Linked DNA regions of Lytechinus pictus. The protein of the gene in region 3 purifies or fractionates together with the protein of the main gene of each other region. This does not show direct contact. Links are inferred from orthologs where the notes say so. Each region holds a gene or a part of one and is shown on either strand. Other genes may lie near its edges. The genes, in order: vesicle-associated membrane protein 7-like, vesicle-associated membrane protein 4-like and syntaxin-8-like.

Evidence for each region.
Region 1: the proteins of syntaxin-8-like (region 3) and vesicle-associated membrane protein 7-like purify together in Homo sapiens (affinity purification with western blotting; 3 studies listed by BioGRID and IntAct, with this or other methods). This does not show direct contact. The link is inferred for Lytechinus pictus from reciprocal best matches to the Homo sapiens genes STX8 and VAMP7.
Region 2: the proteins of syntaxin-8-like (region 3) and vesicle-associated membrane protein 4-like purify together in Homo sapiens (co-immunoprecipitation; 3 studies listed by BioGRID and IntAct, counting the BioPlex papers as one, with this or other methods). This does not show direct contact. The link is inferred for Lytechinus pictus from reciprocal best matches to the Homo sapiens genes STX8 and VAMP4.

The regions. Positions count from the first base shown.
Region 1 is NW_026974140.1:15,218,127-15,226,769, reverse strand, and holds the start of vesicle-associated membrane protein 7-like, read right to left. Parts: upstream 3,411-8,643; 5' UTR 3,322-3,410; coding exon 3,013-3,321; intron 2,341-3,012; coding exon 2,291-2,340; intron 1,468-2,290; coding exon 1,380-1,467; intron 1-1,379. UniProt on the Homo sapiens protein: Involved in the targeting and/or fusion of transport vesicles to their target membrane during transport of proteins from the early endosome to the lysosome. Required for heterotypic fusion of late endosomes with lysosomes and homotypic lysosomal fusion.
Region 2 is NC_087259.1:11,820,740-11,828,483, reverse strand, and holds the start of vesicle-associated membrane protein 4-like, read left to right. Parts: upstream 1-4,576; 5' UTR 4,577-4,691; intron 4,692-7,744. UniProt on the Homo sapiens protein: Involved in the pathway that functions to remove an inhibitor (probably synaptotagmin-4) of calcium-triggered exocytosis during the maturation of secretory granules.
Region 3 is NC_087254.1:19,111,787-19,120,042, forward strand, and holds the start of syntaxin-8-like, read right to left. Parts: upstream 3,421-8,256; 5' UTR 3,247-3,420; coding exon 3,221-3,246; intron 1-3,220. UniProt on the Homo sapiens protein: Vesicle trafficking protein that functions in the early secretory pathway, possibly by mediating retrograde transport from cis-Golgi membranes to the ER.

The DNA.
Region 1 (8,643 bases), on a different chromosome or scaffold from region 3:
GTATGGTATAGTTAAATAGTTCAAAGTACAGTTTCTTAACTGATCATGCAGTGTTCCAACTTTAATACCCCATACCATAATCCAACTTACCCCATATATGGGGAAGTTGGAACACTTGAGTTGGTTGTGTTCAAGGTGGATTTTTTTCAGTAACCGTCATAAAGTTAAAGAATTTTATGAGGTACATTTGTAGCCCTTAGATTGTTTCTTGAATAAAATCTATTTGGATTTTACAGCCATTTTGGTCAAAATGTTCAATATAACCCCAATCTCCCCTGTCAAAGAATGTAATAAATTGATCTATATTCTGCATTATTTAAGCTCTGATAAATCCTAATAATAAATAAAATGTTTGTTAAATTATATGTCAATTTAGCAAATGAATCCTGTTGTTCAAAATAACATTCTCAACAATAACCGTTTTATGCATTTTGATATTTCAACCGAATATTATTAGACTGTAGATTCTAAAATTAGAGATACATGTATGAATGCATATATTGGGAACCTATATTTTACAAGTTATGATTTTAATACGTTCTTCATTTTCATGAGATTCTTATTACTTTGTAAATAAGTGAATGTAATTTTCATTATTTTTTCATTTAATAAAGATGTTTTTGTGGAATGTGAAACAATAAATAGAATAAAATCAAATAAAAACTATATACCCCTGACATGCTTCCTGCCATATTGCAGATTTGATGCACTAGCTTATACAATTAATATCAAATTTAAAACCATTCTAATCCCTTTAGATCATTTTCATGATTTTTTATTTTTACATTATCAATTGAAAATTCAAATAAGTACAGGTGGCTTGGTGATAGACCCATTAAACTTGGATTTCATTTTAATAAAAAACCAGCTACACTACTATACAGATTCATAAAATCACAAGTGGATGATTATCAGAAATGATCTAGACAATGCCCCCTCTTATCACTTCTAAACAAACTATAAATGCAGTCTCTAGAGTTAAAACAGTCCACACAATATAAACAGTCGATCAATGCAAAATTATATTACAGGTTGTATAGGATCAAATATATTTCTTAGAATTGAATGATAGAATTAGATAATTTATGAACAGAAAGTAAAACTACCACTTGGGCAATTCCACTCTAGGGTATTCAGTCAAAATGACAATGTCTTCATAATATCTTATTTTGTTATAAGATATCTTCAATCTGCATTCATACCTAAATCAAACATCATACTCAATGCCTTTTTTTTCCTTTGCATCTCTTCATTTATTTCTTGTTCTTTCAACTATCTATGTAAATATTTTAGGGACCAGCCTACATTCTTTGCTCTTTTGACCGAGACTGAATATTTTCAAATTGCTATTGTTGACAAGTTTTTACTTCTAGACTTACAATTTGTGCAGCTAATACTCGAGAGAATTCACTGTTCATTGCAAAAGGAAGCGCTGTGTGTACTCTGGACCCATAAGTGGCTGTGAATCTGTAAGTTGGAATAATGACATTAAAAAAAATCATGATATTGAAGATATCTGGTTTCAGTTTCTATTTTGAAAGAAGCTTATACTGAAGGTAAAGTCAATACATTACACAAGTAAAAAATATGTTACAAATTATTTAATGGTGTATTGGGACTTTGGAGAGTGTCTTTATCATGCATTAATCATATTTATTTCATTGGTATCACAGTTATGGCACAATTGTCTTAATTATAGAAAATAAGGGGGTATTCATATCAAATTACATGCAGGAATTAGCCCCTTAAAAAGCTTGCATGCTCTTAAACTGGGGTAATAATGTCCTAGTCCTTTAAGGCACATAGAGACATCATATCATGTGTGCTACTGATTGATACATGTACATGTATTAAACACATTCTTAATCCCACAAACTATATACAGTATGTATGGTTGGTAATAGTGTCTTGCCCAACTTGAGCCACTCAAGTATTACAAATTACAAAAGGAATTTCTTGCTTACTGTTGATCTCAATCAGTGAAGACGCTAATGTACATTTAAAAAAGTTAACAATTGCCTGACTTGTGCTATAGAAACTACAAGTACAGTTTAGAATTATTTTTTTCAATAGGGGGAATTTCTCTAATGCCGAATTGGGTTTGAATAACAAACAAGAAGTAATTGCAGCATATGAATGAAGGGTTGGCAAATATCGATTAATATAGGGATATTCAACGTTCAGACTTTGTAACCTCACATGTGATCAGCTCTTCCATGTCATGTGATATAAAGTCCATAAAATACATTTTTCTATAAAAAGGCAAATAATATTTGAAACAAGCCCTCACTTCTTTTTGATCTCCTGGAGAAATGCAAATGCTCTTGACCTTTCATAGTCCTGGAAAGAAGAAAAATATTCAATGACCAATTAATAAATGATCATTTGAACCATAAAAAGTATATAATACAAAATAAATCTTTTTATTTTCTTTTCAGGGTAATTTAGCAGCATTTTATCATCCTACTACTACACAAAATCACACAAATCCATTTTCTGCATTTATATATTTTTTTATTTTACTGTGTGATATATCAATATTTTAATCATTATACAAACTCTCAGAATAAATATTTAATTACAAGGAATGTAATGTTCCAAATCATTACCATGATAGAAAATAAACATGGTATTCTACAAATGACAGAGCTTCTTCTTTATCACTAAAGTGTTATGTGCTAGCCATCTTCAGAATAAAGGGTGGTTAAATATTTCATATTGGCTTGTATCAGAACTCTTATTGATACAATAATAAAAGTTTGAACAATGTTGTAACAATTAACCTACATTATGTTGTGGTAACAATTAACCTAAACATTACAGATTTTCTCTCAAAGTCATCACTCAACAGTCACATGTAATAGTTTGTCAAGTTGATTCAGAAACGAGTATGACATCTTGAGAAAACAAGATCTTGGGACCAACTACAACTTGAACTTCTTGGACATGGGTTATGGTTATGGCTATGGGAACTAAACCAAGTGGTTCTCATATTGAATGGGTACTACTTACATCATCTGTGATGCACATATATATAATCCTCTCCTCTGAGACGTAATGAAAGAGGTATGCTCCATGTGAGTACGTCAACTTGGCATTCTGTGGAGGAATCTTCATCAGTACTTGCTCTGTCACCTCAGTGAAGTTTCCCTGGCAAGCTGCATAGTTTGCAAGCACCGTGGTGCCACGAGCGATGACTGCATAAAGTATAGGCATCTTGTCTCCGTCAGATGGTCTCCTGTAGATGTGATCAAGACCATCAACCGGGGACTCTGAAAGGTAGGAGAGATATGAACGCTTCTGAATAGGAATTGGAGCCATTTCTTTTTTCTTAATTACACATATCAACTAAAACAGGATGAAATAATTCCACAGAGATTGATTTGTATTCACCCCTGAGGTTTAAAATGGTTAACACCAGCACAGCAACCCAGCATATCACAAACTGAATGGGTTGCTTCTTTGTCCACTATGAAAGCTCTGTGAAACTACATACAAATAACTTTTGCAGCAAACTAATAACACCTGGGTCATTAATTCTTGAGAGGAATTAATGATCACATGAAATTTTGCTGGTATCCAAATGTTTCATATACTTGAGATAGAGGTATTCAATTGCACTGTGCAATATCATAAGTCTTCAAATACATGTAATTTAAAGAACCTTTATTTTTTTTAACTGTTACTTGACACGAGATGCCCGCATCAAAAAGCGACTGTATCCTTCATAAAATTTGTTACAAAATATGGCTGCATGATGACTATTCACATTTGGGTCTTATCTTCAGCTGTAAAACTGTACCATGTTTTGAAATACAGATCCCCAATAAATGTCAAGCAAAGTCCACAGAACATCTTTTCTCCTTTAGCCTACAAGCAGGTGGAATGAATGAAAAATTACCTTGTTGTTGACTTTGTTTATTTCAATGAAATTATCTTTCCTTTTTGCAAAAAGTTGCCAATATTGGAAATTGTCTTGCATATTTCTCTGTGCATCTAGCTACTGGCTGTGGACTGGTGCTTTAAGACAGACTCAAAATGAGAATACCAAAAACAGTATACCAGTAGTGGTTGATCCAATCTTAATAAAAGACGAGCATGCACATATTCTTGCACAGTACTCTAACAAATAACAACACATTTTACTACAATGTAAGAAATATTAAAGAGAATGAAGAACGATGCAAAGAAGCCTGAAACTAAACAAGCAAATATCAGATCTAGCAATATTATTGGAAAGAAATGCAGATTTTAAATTCATCCTGAATTATGTGAAAAAACCCAAAAATTTGAATAATATTTATCACTGATCTCTCCCTCTCTCTTGTTATTATTATTACCGGTACTAGGGAATCTAAAAGATTCTTTAAATGCATTAAAATTGGGCTTCTCATTGTCTTCTTTATTCAAAGTAGTTTGCATATCCTACAAAGACAATGATGGTGGAAGTACTGTAATTAATAATTATCGCACTTCACTATTTGACCTGAGGCTGTAGGTCAGACGAGTCTACTACACCGAGGATATGAGACCTAAACAAGAATACAGCAAATCCATTCACTTCCACTGTTCCACCAGATGAAGTGATCAACATGATCAAGGTCAAAAGGATTACCTCACTTTGTAACATGATGATGATGTCTATGAAAATCTGGAACTTGGAATTGACCAGATTGAAGAGCTCGCCAACAGCAAACTACAGATGCACATGTATGTATTAAATACAGTTTTAGTGGGGATGGGCATAATCCAAACCATAAATGCCCCCACCCCACAAAAAATAGGGATTAATTTATCCGCCTGATGGACATTTTTGCTCTGTAACAGTATTGTAATAAAGAATTAATTCACTATATCATACATTAAAAATGATGGTAGTATATTAATATTTTGACTTCATCCAAAAATAAATAAGCAAAACAAAAGTAAATAAAGAACTATAAATGTATTGTATTTTGGCTTCATGATTTTAATACAAAGAATTAATTTAATAAATTCAAGTTATTTTAATCACTAAGAATAAAAATTTAAATAAATAAAACGGTAAAAAAATGACCTGTCTACCATCCCTTATACCAACCATTTTAACCACTAAAAATAAAAATCATTAACCATTTTAATCACTAAAAAAAAAAAATGCCTACCCTCCCCTTTACCATTTTAATCACTTAAATAAAAATAATTTAGAAAACAAATAAACAACCAAGAAGCCCCACCTCGTCCTTTTATCATTCCAATCACAATATAGAAATAAAAATTAAGATAAAAAGCAACAAAGAATAAAGCAATGCTATTATTGAATTCAATCTCTATAAGAATGAGATTTAAAAAAAAAAAAATACGGATTTAACAAGCCATGTTTCTCCCCTTTTATCATTAATCACTAAGAATAAAAATTATCATAAATAAAACAAAAAAGAGCCCCCCCCCCCTTCAATCACTATGAATAATTTATTCAATAAGAAATGAAATAAAAACAAACAATGAAGCCCCCCCTTTATAATTTGAATCACTAAGATCATAATTTAAATAAAACTAAAGCAAACAATTAATAAGCTCACCCACCCCTTTATTTCAATTAAAAACAAAGAAGACCCTAGACAGCTGGTAGCCGTCTGTTTCGAGGATTTTTTTTTACAATTTTAATTTTTTTTATTTCTCCTCGTACACAGACGGCTCACCATCATGCAGCCACCATTAGAGGGTTAAGAATGCAAAGTCCCCCGATGGGGCTCATCGATTTTTGTCTTTATTTCATAAAAATATATGAAAAGAACTGTGCCAAAATAAAGATTATTTTTCTGTTTTGGCCTGAAATGCACCAAAACAGGAAAATAAACTTAAAAGAGGAAAAAACAGCGACTTACATCGGCTGTCGCGCAACTCCCACTTCCCTTGTTTACCGAACTAATACATAAACATATGGCATTGAGTCCCTGTACAGATCGAGCTAGAACTTCGGTCTCTGTATTTGGTGAGTGGAGCCAACGGCCACCGGAGTTCAGTGGAACAACCAACATAACAGAGACCGAACCTTTTGGTCTAAGACCCTAGCTAGCTCCATCGTCGGCTCGTCGCACTTCATAAAATAATAGTGTCCATAATGAGCGCGCGTGCGTGTTTTGCCAGCTGTCCGGCCATTTAAAGGTACTGTCCAAAAACTAAAAGGGCGAAAGCTAAAGGGGACCGACGTCGGCAGGTCATGAAATGAAATGAAATCAATGCAAGAATATTCTTTAGCACTTGGCAAGGTAAATATAATGATCATCTACATTGAGATCACGAAGTTATCAAAAACCTTTACCCGTCCAAGAATTGTCAGGAATACGGTACCAAATGTACCAGTAAACGATTTCAAACAAAAGCAGTACTGCACTCAGTGAGTGAGTCACTGACTCAAGTTTCCACTTGGCCCTAGTTTCTTACCTCTCCCTCCCTCCCCGATTGAAAAGAGAATCAAAGAGTATTAAAGTCAACCAAGATTCAAACAAGGACTACTCTAGAATAAGGGCAAGGGCGTGTGCACTCTTTTTGGCCCGCAACTGTGGTGGTTTTCTTGCAACGCCCCATGCCACGGGCATGGATTGCTTACCTCGCGGGGAGTTCCCCCGTCATGCCCCTGTAAAGCAATGTCAGTTACGGTACGTATAGAAACAGTCACAAACAAGCCCTCAATTCAAGCTGGCCAGTTTATCTTAATTGATCTTCATTTACATAATGAAACTCAACTCAGTACCAAAGATGGAAACTACAGAAAGCCGAGACGATAGTAAATTCTGATTGACATAGTGCAATCAGTTTGTTCTTACTTACAATGAATAAGCGGGTTACGTTCTCGACTGGTATACTCAAATCTCAACTTCCATTCCCCGAATCTCGTGATCGCGCGCGTGCTGTTTTAATTTGGGCGTTGAAGATGTGATGTGAAACGGATCCGGGAATGGATGTCATCCGATCCCCGGTATGTCAGCGCAGCCGAGATAATCATGACAATGATAGTCATACAATGACATCTCTAATTATTTAATAAAAGAACACAAGAAAGAACAATGGTAGATAATGTTCATACTTTGTTATTTCAGGATGTCTTTTCTGAAATTCAAGTGTTTATTTTACAATTCATCATTTTGAACAGGTGGAGGCACTACGGGCACAAAAGGGAGGTTTGTATGATTCAGATCCGCCCGTTTAGATGAGAGGAGTAATGGTTGTTATATCATTGTCCAAGAGAAAAGGACAATATACCCACTGACACTTAAAACCTAGCAAATAAACTGCTGCCTTGTCGTTTATTGATGAACATTTAAATTAAATTTTGAGTCTAAAGTCCAAGCATTCTCAGGTCCCATTTGACGCTGTTAATTTGTTAATATCTACATTTGTCATATAATTCTCTTCCGGGAGCAGCTAGACCCCCCCCCCATGAAAAATTTCAAGAAATGTCACAAAACCTGGGGGTGATAAATGACACAAAGTGCAGAGGAAGGGATCTCAAAATGATAACTAAAGTTTCTTTGTTCATTTGTTTAACCTTTGTACATGTATATCAACAGTAGCATCCCGGAGTATATAGCATTCCAAACGGTGGTTCAATAGGCATCTTCAGCCCACTATAAACCACTGCCAGTCTTGGGCTCAATAATCACCCTTTTCATTATGGGCAACTAGTCCACTATATTTTCACAGTTGTGATTTGCTCTTCCAAATCGATAGATTTCATTGGTACTGGTATATAACCTGGATAATTTAACCCCGGAGTTGAACTTGGCTAAATGTTCCTATGAAGTTGGACACAATAGCAGTGATTTTTTTTCTCTTCAGATTTTAAGGGAATCTATACCCTTGGTCAAAACATTTTGTGAGAGAGAGAAAAATAAGTACAACAGAAAGAAATAAATCAGACAAAGCAAAAAGAACCGAGATCTCAAAGTTAGTAAAAGTATGTAAATTTCTAATTGCAACATGGCAACTGAGTATTATGACAAGTGGTGGGGACAACTATCCCAGAGGCCATGCACTTAATTATCAGGAATTTGTGGTTATATCCTTAAAGGTCAAGTCCACCCCAGAAAGATCATGATTTGAATAAACAGATAAAAATCAAACAAGCACCGTCGATGCTGAAAATTTCATCGAAATCGGTTGCCGTAAAAAAAGAAAGTTATGACATTTTAAAGTTTCGCTTAATTATTTTTCACAAAACAGTTATATGCACAACTCAGTGATATGCAAATGTGAGAGCCAATGATGCACCTCACTATTTCTTTTGTTTTTTTATTGTTTGAATTATAGACAATATTTCAATAATAATTAAAGACCAGGCGGGTGTTTCATAAAGCTGTTCGTAAGATAAGAGCGACTTTAAGAACGACTGGTGATCCTTTCTTATGCGCTAAACCGTCGCCAATGAATATACCATTTACCACAAGAAAGGATCACCAGTCGTTCTTAAAGTCGTTCTTAACTTACGAACAGCTTTATGAAACACCCACCAGCTTTATTGAACCACAAAATGTTATAACAATGGTAGTTCCACATGTTCGGGAGGAATAAAATCAGTCAGTCTGCAAGCCCGGGGGGGGGGCACTTCCATTGACGAGTGGATATACCATGCGCGACCACGGGGTCTTGAGAAGCACCCTA
Region 2 (7,744 bases), on a different chromosome or scaffold from region 3:
TGTTTTATTAGTATAACCACCTATCGTCTCTCTATCTATCTATCTATATGCCTGTCTCTCTATCTATCTATATGTCTGTCTCTCTATCTATATGTCTGTCTATCTATATGTCTGTCTCTCTATCTATCTATATGTCTATGTTTTATTAATATAACCACCTATCATTTATCTCTCCATCCATCACTCCATCCATCTATATATATTATTATCTTTCTTATATGTATCTGTTTGAATATGTAAATCTGTTTGTCTATCTATTTTTCAATCTAATATCTGTTTAAATATTTTTTTTCCTGTTTATCTTTCTATACGACAGACCACCTAATTCGTCCGCATGACGAATTAAAATCTAGTTTTTCTTTTTATATATATCTTTATGAAATAAGACAAATATGTGCCCCGACATGGGAATTTTGCATTGTTAACCCCCTATTGGCTGCACATGCACGATAGCGAGCCGTCTGTGTACGAGAAATTCAAAAAATAATAATAATGTTAAAAAACTCCTCGAAACAGACGGCTGCCAGCCGTCTAATGTTTGACTAGTATTACTATTACACGGACGAGTCCTGGCCCTGGGTTAGCTAGTGCACGTACCGAGTTATGGTAGGGGTTCCTAAAGCTGCGCGGGTCCTAAAGCTACGCACCACTCCATCGCGCATGCAATTTCAATGGGAAAATAAATGCGCACTCGAGCTCTGTGTGTGAAGCTGTGACTGCAGAGTGACGAACGATCCTATTCAATTTTTTTACAGAGGCTGCAATAAATTCTTGAATGCAGAGAAAACCAGCAAATGTTTGGAATTTTTTATTTATGTTCACTTTAATTTCATATTTCCCTATAATAATACGAACATATTTTAGAAATTAAGGCACAGGAAATACTATTTCTTTGCATGATAAATCGAGTGCGTAGCTTACTTTAGGACCCCTTCTACATCGGCGACGAAATCAAGACAAGAGGTGTTCGGAAAACACGGCGGGTTTTTCGTATTAGAGCGTGATCGGTTCATCACGGACGGACATTTGATAGATTTTGAAAACTTTGAAGGCTTGTAACAAATTGGGAATAAGATGAACATGGTTCCTTTTTGTTTTATAGTGAAGGGTTACTTAGGACAAAGTATGCTGAATGATGAAAAAAGTTTGTTGCCATGGTTACCTACAAACATAGGTAGCCACTAAATGTGCCATATCACGGACGGACATGATAGAAATGTGGTTTTCAGAATTTTTGAACATTTTTATTGTTTCTATCTAAATAGCTTAACTTTGACCAATAATGGAAATGTTCACACCTACCAAAAAAAATTACTTCCCAATATTTTTTTTCTACTAATTTTTGTTTGATAATACTATAGATTAATGTTTAGAGTGCAAGAACATCCAAACCAAATTAGAATAACTTTAAAAACCATAAAACTAGAGAGAATTTGATTTGAGTAAAAATGTCCGTCCGTGATGAGAGGTAATAGCACCCCCACGAATAAAATGGACTATTCCAGTACTTTCGGATTCATCAATCTTCATGAAACCGAGTTCTTTGAAACCTGAGATATCAAAGAATATCTTAAAAGCAATTTTGATAGAAAAAAAAAAAAAACCCTTAAAGGAGAATGAAACCCTTGAAACCATCTGAATCCATATCAAAGAGAAAAATCAAAGAAACATATTGTTGAAAGTTTGAGGAAGATTGAATGAATAATAAGAAAGTTATGAGCATTTGAATATTGAGATCACTAGTGCCATGTAGATCCTCCCATCGGCAATGCGACCAAGATCTGTGATATCACACACGTACAACTCCCTCAATACTTTAGTACTTATTTCACTTATATTCTCACTTTTATAGAGTCTATCACAAGGTGAGGTGTTCTCTTTATGAGATGACAAGTACAGAGGTTTCACAACATTATATCATTGATGAATCGTTTGTCATATGATTAGAATGAGCAAAAAGAGATGTTTTGGGGTATATTTTCAGTGTCCAAATGGGAGAGTTCTACGTGTGTGACATCACAGATCTTGGTCGCATTGCCAATGAGAGGATCTCCATAGCATTAGTGATCTCGACATTCAAATGCTCATAACTCTTTTATTGCTAGTCCTATTTTACTCAAAGTTTTGTTGATCTTATTCTTTGATTTTTCTGCTTTCACAAAAGCTAACTTGCTCCAAGAGTTTCATTCTCCTTTAACTAAGGCTTAACCGATCATGCTCATTACTAAAGTCTAAATACTAATTTAGTGAGTTCTGTGATATTTTCTTCTTGGTTAAGAGAATATTAATTACAAATTAGTGAAAGACAAATGGTTAAAATATTAAAATTGGCATAGTTTTTATCGTTTGAAAACAAAGTGCGCGCGTAGCCGTAGCTTTAGTTTAGGTCCCCCCATCATACAACTTACGGTTACACTTGTTACAGTCTACAGTACAGAGCTAACGTTAGACGAGTGTGTATTTTTGTAATAAGCTACTCGAACATCTACACTACAGTCCCATTCACAGCAATCACTGTCAGTAAATTCTTTTCATCTTCCAAACAACGCACTAGTAAGCAATAAAAATTTAGTTTAAGCTCAAATCAAAGAGTTTATCATTCACACATATATAGAATGAATCATTTCTCAATGGATCAACTATCAAAGAATCGAAATCAATGTATAAAATCACAAATCTTCAAGTTCACAGGTCTTTCTTACCGATCTTAAAAATTTGCCAGTGACCTATTTTCAGAGATTCCCGCGAAGATGACGTCATGATGGTGCGTGCGTGATCTCAATGCATGGTAAATTGCCAATTCGCATACTCGCTGCCAACTCGTCCACTCACCAAATGTCATTCCGTCAATCAACATTTCGTCTAAAAACTATTTGGTCCATTAATAACCATTTGGTCCAATCATCACTTCGTCTAATAACCATTTCGTCTCATAACCAGTTGGTCTAATTAATATCCACACTTGGCACAATTAAAAAAGGACAAGTCCACCCTAACAAAAAAGTTGATTTGAATAAAAGAGAAAAATCCAACAAGCATAACACTGAAAATTTCATCAAAATCGGGTGTAAAATAAGAAAGTTATGACATTTTAAAGTTTCGCTTAATTTCACGAAATAGTTATATGCACATCCTGGCTGGTATGCAAATGAGGAGACTATGACGTCATCCACTCACTATTTCTTTTGTATTTTATTATATATATTCTAATTTTCTCCTCATTGTCAAGTGATACAACGATTGATTCCTCCCTGAACATGTAGAATTAGCATTGTTTAATGACATGGTTCAGTCAAATTGGTCCCCCTTTGGTCCTTATTGTCATATAGATAAATAATGAAATATTGTATAGGCCTAATTCAAACAATAAAAAACAAAAGTGAGTGATGGACATCAACGACTGACTCACCTAGTTGTGCATATATCACTGTTTTGTGAAAAATAAGCAAAACTTTAAAAATGTCATAAATAATTTTTTATTTTTCATCCGATTTTGATGAAATTTTCAGCGTTATGCTAGTTTGGTTTTTCTCTATTTATTCACATCAACATTTTTCTGGGGTGGACTTGACCTTTAACATTTTTTTTTAAAGTTTCCTTTAATTTCCCTTCCATGCACTTATTTTCCTTGTTCCTTTTGTCATTGTCCGTGAGAAGATGGCAGGCATGCAGGGGCATCTCGGGAGCCATATAGGGCAATTTTCGCACCCCTCGGTGGAGCTTAATTTTACTTCATTTTCTTTTTTCCCTTCTTTTTATCTTCCATATATTTGATGGAAATCATCAAGGGGGTAGGGGCTCTCTCAAATTTTATTCCCCTTTTTACCTTTTTTCCCCTTTCAACCATGTAAATACCGTTTCCATTCTTTTAATTTGCTTCTCCTTTGACCGCCTTTCCCCTTTTCTTCACCCTCTTCCTTTTCCTATAGGCTTCTTGTCTTTTCTCCACCCTCTCTTGAAATTCATTCCTTTCATTTTTTTTTTTCCATCCTCCATCTCCCTTCTTTTTCTTTTCTTCCCTTTTCCATTTCGCTTTCGATTAATTATTTTTCTTTCTTTAATGAAACTGTTGTCCTTTTCTTTATTAGCATTTTCCCTTAATACCTTCTTTAATCTCACACTTTTTCTTTATTCATTCTTTTTCATTTTCCTTCTCTTTTTAACCTCTTTCCCTTTCTCTTGCCCATATAATTATATTATTTCATTGTATTATCATTATTATTTTTTGTTTTTTGGGGGATATAATGGATCCGCGCCTGCATGCATACATGCAGCCACGTACGATCTACAAATACATTTTGAAGTCAAAAGTTTTGTATTCCATTTTTTGCTCCTTTTTGATTTTTATTGTTTAATATGCATCGGAGTCATGTTAGCCATACTAGTCCTCTTTTAGATTTTTCTTTTGGAAATAATTAAGCTTTCGAGCTTTCGTGGGTCATCCTGTGCAAGCCTGTTGTTTTATGTTCTGGTGACTTGCCAAATAAAATAAACCAATCAATCAATCAATTCATTGCATAGTTAAGTTCTAAACAATATCTGCGCCACATCTTGTACAGAGGAATACGCCATCTACGTTACCAATACCAGTTAGTCGGAGGCCGAAGACGACAGACGTAGATCGAGTTGGAAACTTTATTTTATGAAAACAAGCATTTAATTCTGCAGAATGTTTCTCATTTGAGTGAAAGGTGGGTATTTACCACATTTCATTAAATTCATGACATAGAAAATTAGTCATTTGATTTCATTCACAGTCTGTACTGATTAGCTATCGTACTCGGAGTCGATCGACTCGAGTCGACTGATCCCCGATCATTTACTATTTAGCTGAAGCGAAGCCAGGCAACCGTACGCACGGCCGGCGACCCGGGCCCTGGTCGATCGGCGACTCTGGCACTGCATGTTCATTGCTAACCCAGAGAGCTCCCGCCCGCTGCGCGGGCGGGAGCCCAGAAGCTTACCGTGTATTTTACCATTGTCACCGGACTAGGGTGATTTATGGTCTAAATATTTCTCCAAATGAATTGTGAAAACAGAAAGTATAGAATTACCACGATTATATGGATGAAGGTCTAACGAGTGGCAGATTCCTGACATCTGGGCACAGTCTGGAACCTCAAAAAAACGAAAAGTTCTCTCCTTCTACCCCGTCTCGATCGGCCATTTTTGTTAAAAATTGTAACAAAATGGCCGATCGAGACTGGGTAGAAGGAGAGAACTTTTCGTTTTTTTGAGGTTCCAGACTGTGCCCAGATGTCAGGAATCTGCCACTCGTTAGACCTTCATCCATATATACTTTCCGTTTTCACAATTCATTTGGAGAAATATTTAGACCATAAATAACCCTAGTCCGGTGACAATGGTAAAATACACGGTAAGCTTCTGGGCTCCCGCCCGCTGCGCGGGCGGGAGCTCTCTGGGTTAGTTCATTGCAAGTGCAACCACTGGCACTAGCACTTCCACTGCACTGCAGTTCCACTGCCTGTCACAAGTGTGTCTTGTCTTGATTTGTTTCATTTGTCAGTGTTTGAGTGTGACTAACGTGATGTAATGATGGCTGAAAATAATGCAGGGAATATTTCTGGCATTCTGTGCCGTGCCTTCTGCCTAGACAAGATAGCTGGCAGCCGTCTGTTTCGAGTTTTTTTTAATTTAAAGTAGGCCTACCGCCTAGGCCTAAACATTTTTTTAAATTTTTTATTTCTCTTTGTATGTACACTGTGATGGCTCGCGATCGTGCAGCTGCCATTAGGGAGCTAACAGTGCAAAGTCCCCCCGATGGGGCTCATCGATTTCTGTCTTTATTTCATGAAAATATATAAAAAGAACTGGACCAAAATAAAGATTATTATTCCGTTTTGGCCTGAAATGCACCAAAACAGGGAAAAATAAACTTAAAAGGAAAAAAAAACCAGTGACTTACCTTACCTTACCTTACCGCAAATACTGGAAGAATGCTGAATTAGCAGTCGAGCTTCCAGGTCTATCTTCTAATTTTGTCAGCTTCCTTCATGCTTCAATAAGTTTCAATAAGTTTAAGGAGGCAGTGGGGCAAGTTGGTGAAAATTGACTTCTCATATCCAGTTAAGAGTAGTGGGAATCATAATGCTTATCTTTCCAGTGTCGGTCTAGCCTGATTTTGAAGGTGTCTACTGTGGGAGCTTCAACTACCTCAGCTGGGAGAGAGTTCCAATCATTGACTACTCGGTGACTAAAAGCTTGCTTTCTCACATTTGTTCTGCATCTTGGCTTTACAAGTTTGAACCTATGACCTCTTGTAGTACTGTCAGCTAGCTGAAAAAAGTGGTCTGGGTTAAGCCTGTCGACTTCATGAGTGATCTTATACACTTGAATCATGTCACCTCTCTTTCTTCTGTACTCCAAGGATGGTAAGTTCAGGTGTTTAAGCCTTTCCTTGTATGGAAGATGTTTGATCCTGGAGATTACTTTGGTTGCTCTCTTCTGAACTCTCTCGACAGCCTTAGCATCAGCAATGTACTGTGGTGACCAGATGACATTTCCATATTCCAGGAGTGGCCGCACTAACCCTTTAAATAGTTTGGGGATAGTGGTCGAATCAAGACACTGGAAAGTACGTCTGATGCTGATTAGTACCCCGTTTGCCTTATTGACAGCATTTGACACTTGCTTGTGGAATTTTAGATCGTCGTCAATGATGATCCCTAAATCCTTTTCTTCTCTAACTGCATTCAGTGCTGTACTCCCGATGTTGTAGTGCTCTCTTTGGTCACCTGATCCAAGATGCAAAACACTGCACTTGTCAGTGTTGAATTGAAGTTGCCACTTTGAGGACCAGTCCATCAGTGAGTGCAAACTTGCTTGAAAAACTTCACATTGATTTGGAGAGGAGACAGAAGAGAAGGCCTTAGTGTCGTCTGCATAGATCCTTAGAGTGGATTCCATAACATCAGAAAGATCATTGATGTACAACACAAACAATGTCGGGCCGAGCACGCTACCCTGGGGCACCCCGCTCTTTACCGTGCACCACTGAGATCTGGCATTGTTTACAACTACCCTCTGGGTTCGGCCACTGAGAAAATCAGCAATCCAAGTTTTGAAGCTCCCTTGAATGTTGTATGCATCTAGTTTTGCCACAAGACGTTGATGGGGTACACTGTCAAAGGCCTTTCTAAAATCTAGGTAGACAACATCAACCTTTTCACCTTTATCCAGTAAGGATGTCCAGTCCTCTAGTGTCTGGAGCAGCTGTGTAACAGTTGATCTACCTGGGACAAATCCATGTTGGGAATCGCTGATTAGTTCATTCTCCATCAGATGATCAACGATCTTGTCTCTGATCAGCGACTCCATGATCTTACAGGGTACTGAAGTCAAACTTATTGGTCGATAATTAGTGGCTTCAGACTTGTTTCCCTTCTTGTAAACTGGAACAACGTGACTTGCTTTCCATGCTGAAGGAAGCTTGCCTTCTTTGAACGACTTAGTGTAGATGATGGCCAATGGTGTACACACTGAAGGTGCCGTTTCCCGTAAAATGCAAGGATGGATACCATCCGGTCCAGCACTCTTAAATTTGGAAAGCAGATCAAGTTTGCGATGTACATCCTCTGGGGTTATGTCTAGAGCAGATAAGCATCCAGCTGACTGTCTGCGTTCAAGCTGTGGGATGGAAGAAGTGTCCTCTTCAGTAAATGTTGTCTCAAAGAAAGCATTCAAGATTTCGGCTTTCTCTTCATCTGTTGAAGTGAAGGTACCA
Region 3 (8,256 bases):
AATAAAATAAGTTTTAAAAAATATGTGCACAAAGGCTCTGGAAGAAAATTTGTGATTTCTGAGAAATTAGCAAAATAAGCAAGGCATTCCATCAAAATATCTGGTATTTGTCTTAGCAATATTAATAAACTGTCCCACATATGATTTTCTGTGTTGGTGATGTTCAGAGCTATTGATTTTAGCTAAGATTTCAGGATTTCACAAAGTTAAATCAATGTTTATGTGCCAGTTGGGCAATTCCGTAAAATAATCAACCTTTTTGTACATCCGACCCCCGTTTTTCTCAAGTTTTACTTCTCTTCATAAACTGAACAAGTCATGGTCATTTGACAGCATTACAGGCTGTCAAAAGAACCAAAAATCAGAGACAGAAAATTTCATGAAGGTCCCAAATATAGGGGGCCGGACGTACATATTTTATGGAATTGCCCAGTTATAAACATATCATAATATAACGACAATTAAACTTGATTTCAAAGACTTTCTCATGAAATAATTGTGTGCTACACATGTACATTGTACAAATACATTTTTTACTTTTAAGAATAAGATGTTGATAACACAATCAATTTTTTTTTCATTTTCTTATCAAAAACCTTCAAATTGATGTTTTAACAATGTTGTTTCGGAAAGATTTTATTTATGATAGTGTTAATTAGACCAATATTTAGAAGAAAAAAGACCCATGCACAAGGAACATTGCGTACATGTGAGACTCGTCCGTTAACAAATCTTGTATGACCCAACTACGGCTAGGAATCAGGAGAGGATTTTTGCTAATAATATTTGCTGATGACTCATTTAGTCTTGTGGGGGCTGGTGCCCTTAATATTTTGCTAGAGCTCCTGTGAGTAGTGTGCTGACCGGGCTTGCCCCTTAAACTGTCGGTAAACGGGGCAGCAAGCAGGAGGGCACCAGGCCCCACAGATGAAGCTAGGAATGACCTACGAATGATGCAAAAATATACTTTTTATATTTATAAGACGTCTCATAATTTATAGACATCACCATTTATTATATAATATTATGTATTGCTCTGCACTTTCCACCTTCATCTGGTGTTTACCAATGTGATATGATGTTGATTTTTTTTCAAGTTATACCATACCCCACGCACCCATTCAATGAACAAGGTTATGATATAATGTTCTCTGTTACTACTCTATGTGTGGTTATTATATTTTATTATTTGTTTGGCGTCACCTGTGCCTGGGAGGTGAAAAGCGAACTGAATCACTATGACCCGCAGGTCTCTTCTCCCGATAAAACTGATTGGGGGGAATGCAGGTGGACCACTACACCTTAAATAAGGTTGGCAATTCTCTTGTACTTGGGGACAAAAGCTTGATTTTTTGACATTGTCAGTTTTCATACAGCTACTCAATTATAACTTGGCCCTTGAGTAAATTGAATTCTTTTATTTTTTCTACATTAAAAATAGAGATTGAAAAATGAAAATTTTCTTGCAATTTTACTTTATACCAATAGAGGGCATACACAAAACTATGCCCAAAATTCAAGTTTTTGAGTGCTCTGGTGAATACAAAAATTATCCCCAAGTTACTTATGAAAATTAAAGTGCAACTGTATGGAAATTAGTATTTTTGGTCACATAAGTGATATTTTAATGAAATTCTTAAATGTGTGTTGTCTACTGCATTGGCATACCATAGTCCTACATGTAGATTCCCCACAGGCAGGGTGGTTGCCACTCATTCAATGAACAAGGTTATGATATAACCTTGTTCTCAGTTATATCTCCATGTGTGGCAAAATAAGGATGGCAATGTTTGGCTTATTTTCTCTTTTTCTTTGGGACAAATGCTTGATTTTTTTACACTGACAGTTTCCATTACACCTATTCGTCATACAACTTGGCCCTTTAGTAAATTTGATTCTTTAAATTATTTTTTTCTTAATTAAAAATAGAGATGAAAAATGAAAATTTTCTTGCCATATTATTTTCCACCAATAGAGGGCGTACACAAAAATATGCCCAAAATTCAAGTTTTTGAGCGCTCTAGTGAATACAAAAATTATTCCCAAGTTACAAATGAAAAATAGATTGCAACTGTATGGAAATTAGTAATTTTGGTCACAAAAGTGATATTTTAATCATTTTTTAAAGTGTGTGCTCTGTACAGCATTGGCATGCCATAGTCCAACCTGTAGATTCCCCACAGGCAGGATGGTTGCAGTGAACAAGTGGGTGGTTGCAGTGAGAAAGTGACCCCATGGTGTGTGTGTGTGTGTATTTTGAGTTTTGTCAGATGTGTATCAATCAGATATGATTATTTACGTCTGGGAACGACCTTTAACGTCACCATCCGAAAGACGTGACCAGGGCTTGAACCTCTGCTCTGCATCAATTAGTAACTTCCCCACATGGCTTGGATTACAGGCACATGCCACAACGCCCAGTTAAATATATATATTTTGCACTTGTATTTAAGTGCAACAAAGCTTGCGTGCGCTTGCAAAATCTTAAATTTAACGGCCTTATACTTCTCAAATCTTAATAAGGCCCTACTGAAAACAATACAATAAAAATCACTCACACGTATTGCGAGGTTAGTATTAGTATACTAACCTCGCACCACGAACCGCGTTTGGCAGTGGATTTCTAACTAGTGGGTCGCGCGTGCTGGGATCTCACTTCTTGGGTCCACAACACACGACTTCTATGGCTTGATTTTTCCGTGCGCGGCGGCATGTAATGAATTCTTGGGTGAATAAAAATATATTTTTTGACATAATACTTAATAGAATAGATTTGATTGGCGCATATATTCTTTTTTGAATAAAAGCACCGTTAAAATTAAAACCAAACAACAACAACATTTTCTGATATTGACGATTGACGTTTCATCAATTAAAATTAAATTATCATGAAAATGAAATAGTCAAATAGACTATGTCTATAGGCCTATACTATAGGCCCTAGGCCCTAATTATAAATATTCAATAAAAATATCATCACAAAATATCGTCTTGGCTAGGTATTTTTGTTCATATAGCCTTCTTTATTTTCTTACAAGCATATATACTTTCTTAGCGATAACATAATAAAAACCCACCAACCCTAACCACTAGTCCACTTGTCTTGAAATGACAGGTGTTCATCAACGAATGCACAAATATTTGTGTCACTAACTCGGATATCAACGAATGGGACTACATTGAGAGGAAAATGTAAACAAGTAATTTAGCCACAACTTACCACGCATCTCCACCGAATCCTGCCATCTTTCAACAAAATTATGTCACCCTATACCAATGCAAAATAACAAAGAACTATCTTTTCATGCACTTTTACAATAATCACGCTTTATACATGGTTATCTGCCAATTAAAAAGATGTGAAAGAGATTTAGTTCAAGCTTGACATCACAAGACCGAATGTTATGGTGTCGCTGAAACACCCAAATCGTGATTGAAAAAAAAACATAATGAAGCTGCATCCTAGATCGTTTTAAAGTTAAAATCGGAATTAAGGTACACTCTGAATAGTAGAGCGGATAAGCTCCAAAAATCACAACAATTTTTATTTTTCTGGGGAAAAACAAGCCGTTGCCATGGTAACGGACCAATTGGAACTATCTTGGTGATCTTGAATATTTCTAAATTTCATATGTATTCAATTGGGAGCCTGAAAATTATCATTTTGGTCATCTATATCATGTTTATTTACCATTTACATGGGAATGTGTGTTAATTTGGAGAAATTAATCCGTTGCCATGGCAACGGCCGAAAATGGCATTAATAAATTTACCTCCCATCTTTAAAATAAATCTTACGGCATATACTAATACTTGTGAAAGTTTCATGCTTTAGTCATAATTTGCACAATTGTTCGGCTCATCCGCTCTACTAGAACACTCTTTGTAATCCAGCAGGATGCGTATCTAGCCAAATCAATAATAAAATGAACTGTTACCTAAAAATGTGATATTTTACAAATTGCTTTGTATGGGCTCATTACATGGATGTGCTCCATAATTAATAATGCGACCGCAAAGCATGAGGTGATTGGTTGGATTTTTTCAGTCCTAAAAAGGACCATTTTAAACACTTGTAAAACGAACAAGATGCGTATACTGATGATAAACTGTAAAGGGGCATTTTAAAGACTGTTAGAATTCATAATGAGGATACATCTCAATAATCAAAATGCGAGCGGCAAGCGCACAGAGCAAGCTGATAAGTTTAGACAATCGGTCCTGAAAGGGGATTTTTTTTAATAGGAATTTTTGAAAGAATTCATTCACTACGGCCCTGAATAAAATCAATATAAGTCATATTTAAAAATTACAGTAAAAGCAGGGCCAAAAGGAAAACACATCAAGCATGTCAAGAATAAATCAAATGATAATAACACACCAGCCGTGTATCGATTAATATTACTATGTTTAACATAGATACGTCGTATAAAATAATACAAAAAATAAAGTATGCAATATGATGAAAGTCATGAAACTGATGATAGAACAATATCTTAACTCAAATAAGTGCTAATAATGGAATGCTTAAACTCAAACTTAAATTTGTTCAATGTAGGAGCACCACGTATTGTTAAAGCTATATCATTCCAGGTATCTGGACCAGTATGTCTTATTGACCTATGGGCTAAGGCAGTTAGCGGATTTGATAAATGTAAATTTGTTGAGGTTCTCGTAGGATAATTATGAATAAACGAATTCAAAAGGAACATATGATCAAATGTTAATGGTAATTGGCGACAGTGAAACTTAAACATAAACAAAGCAATTTGAAATTTATGTATATCATCAATTTTTAAAGTCTTGAAACGGTTAAAGAGGGGACCAGTATTTTCATAAAAACCAGCGTCGGCACACAAACGAATAGCTTTCTTTTGAAGTAAAAGGATATGGTGATTTTTTTATTTGAATGAGCCCCATACAATATTGCAATAAGTGATATGTGGAAGTAAAATAGAATTATAAATTGAGAGTAATGCTTGAGGAGGTAAATAGTGTTTAACTTTAAACATTATACCAGGGAAGTGTTATAACACTTCCCTGATTATACCTATACATCTTGATACAGACGTCAATATTTTAGATACATGGTCATCCCATGTTAAAAACTCATCTAGAATGACACCTAAAAATCTCACATTATATTTTTGTTCGATAGAAATCCCACTTATCTTTATTTCTTCTGTATAATGATCAGCTATTGTTTTGGAGTTCTTGAAATCAATATAATATGTTTTTTGCAAATTTAAAGACAATTTATTACTTTGGAACCATGTGGATATTTTGGGCAATTCATTATTCAACATTTCAAAAAGCATTCTTTTATTCGAGTTTGAAGAAATAACTGTTGTGTCATCAGCATAAAGAATATATTGTAATAAGGGTGAAGAATATACTATGTCATTTATATACAGAAGAAATAAAAGCGGGCCCAGAATTGAGCCTTGAGGCACACCACAATTAATATACTGTGAATTAGAACTTACTGAATTTATACATGTAAATTGTTGCCTATTTGAAATATAACTATTAAACCAATTAAGAGTAGTACCTCTAACACCAAAATATTTTAATTTGTAAAGCAATATAGTATGATCCAGGGTATCGAACGCTTTACTTAAGTCCATGAAAACACAAATTACATGTTCCTTTTTTGCTAAAAGAGAAGAAATTTTATCATAAAGATCAACAAGAGCTAGATCAGCAGAATGAAATTTGCGAAAACCATATTGGGATGGATTTAATAAATTATGTAATGACAAAAATGAAACTAATCTATTGTAAACAAGACGTTCAAGTATTTTTGAAAATGACGAAAGAATAGAGATAGGGCGATAATTCTCAATGAGTGTCCGATCGTCCTTTTTATAAATTGGAATGATTTTCGCAATTTTCATATGAAGTGGAAAAATTCCGGTTGACATTGAAATATTACATATGTGAACAAAAGGAGTTATAATGCTTAATATAATCTTTTTAAGGAGAAAATTACTAATCTCGTCATGTCCAAAAGAACGACTGTTTTTAAGATTGTTTACGATTTTCAATATTTCCTCAGAATTTGTTGGATTAAAAAACAATGTATGTTGACATGAATTGCGTAAATAATCTGCAAAATTAGTTGTGGTATGTGGTATTTTTAATGCTTGTTCCTGCCCAACATTAACAAAATAATCATTAAAACCGTTAACAATATCATCTAATGATTCATATACAAAATCACCATGTGAATATTTATGATTTAAATTAGCATCCTTTGCTTTCCCCAATAATTCGTTAATATTTTTCCAAGTAGCTGACATATCTCCTTTAGCATTTTCAAATTTTTGTGAATAATATGTTTTCTTTGCATTTTTGATGATACATGTTAAAAAATTTCTATATCTTTTATATTTACTAATATTTTCAGAGGAAGGATTCTTCAAACTAGTTTTATAAAGTTTGTTCCTTTTTCGAATTGACTTTACAATCCCAAAAGTAATCCATGGTTTTCTAGGAGTTTTTGATGACCTTTTTCGTCTAACTTTTGGAATTGTATGGTTTAAACAGCAATGCAGTTTATCAATAAATAATTTATATGCTATATCAACGTCATTACAGGATAAAACATCAACCCAAGATTCGGCTTCAAGTTCGGTTATAAAATTTTGCATATTCTCAGGAGACATCTTTCGAATATAAGTAATATTTGTAGCAGGCTTTTTACTTTGTCCAAGTGTAGTGATAATAAATATAGGAAGATGGTCAGAAACATCAGAATATAATATACCAGATGAAATATGTCGCTTGTCAGTGTTGGAAAAAATATTATCGATTAAAGTAGAACTTACAGCAGAAACACGTGTTGGTTTATCTATAAAAGGATATAATGCATACAAATTCAATACATTGAAAAATGTTTGGCTTTGTTTATTAATATTTAGAATATCAATATTGTAATCACCAGATAAATATATATCTTTATTTTCGGTTGTAAGTTTATGAAGAATAATATCTATATCAGAGAAGAAGGATTCAGTATTTAAGTGGGGTGGTCGATAAACAACACCTATAACAGAATTTTTGGAATTACAATTTTCAACTTCAACAAATAATGATTCAGCGCTATTACTCACAAATTGTAAGTCTTTCCTGATAAAAAAATTGATAAGATTCTTTTATATATATAGCAACACCACCACCTTTCATATTATTTCTATCAACATGAAGAAGTAAATAACCACTTATATTAAATAAATCTGGAGATTTGTCATTTAGCCATGTTTCAGTTACACATATAATACTATATTCATATTCAACAGAAGAAAGCAATTCTTGAAAAGTATCAAAATTCTTACATAGACTCCTTGAATTTACATGAAGAATACTGAAATGATTTTCTTGGTAAGTAATCTTATTTTTGAATTCATGGGGTAAATAATATTGGCAAGATGACGTTGCAATGACCTCATTTAGTTCCAAATCTATATTACTATCCATCATATAATAAACGTGTGAACAAAAAATACTTGTATATCATAATGATAGTAGGTTTTACGATAATAACGACTTTACTTGCATCTCTTGATAAATAAATATAGCGATGATATAATTTACAAATCGATACACGACTGGTACGAAGGTTTTGTGAACTTTCTTGCTGATTCACATTCATATTAATAAAGTAGAAATTATGGAAAATAGATTCAAGACTGACAATCAAATCAAGTGTAAAAAGAGCATGACATGCTAAAAATATGGCACAGCGATGTGCAAGAAGACAATTACCAAAATATAAGTACAATACAAAACAAATCGTTTTGGTTGAATATACTTTGATAGACTTGCTCGACCTCAGAAAAACGGAAGAGTAAATAAACACTCCATTTAAAAGTATTTGTTTTCAAAGTGTACATGTACTAGGAGAAGACGATCCTTTTATTCACAAAGTGGCAAATGCTATTGATAATTCTCTGCACACAGTTGGTGTATTCCTGGACCTTTCCAAGGCCTTTGACACGATTAATCATGATATTTTGCTTTACAAGTTATCACATTATGGTGTGCGTGGAAAGGCCTTGGAATGGTTCACGAGTTACCTAACTAACAGAAAACAATTTGTTTCAATAGAAGACCATAAATCTCAAATGAAAACTATTTCTTGCGGTGTACCGCAAGGATCACTCCTAGGCCCACTGCTTTTCTTGTTGTATATTAATGATTTTAATAATTCATCAAATGACCTATCATTTATTCTTTTCGCGGATGACTCGAACC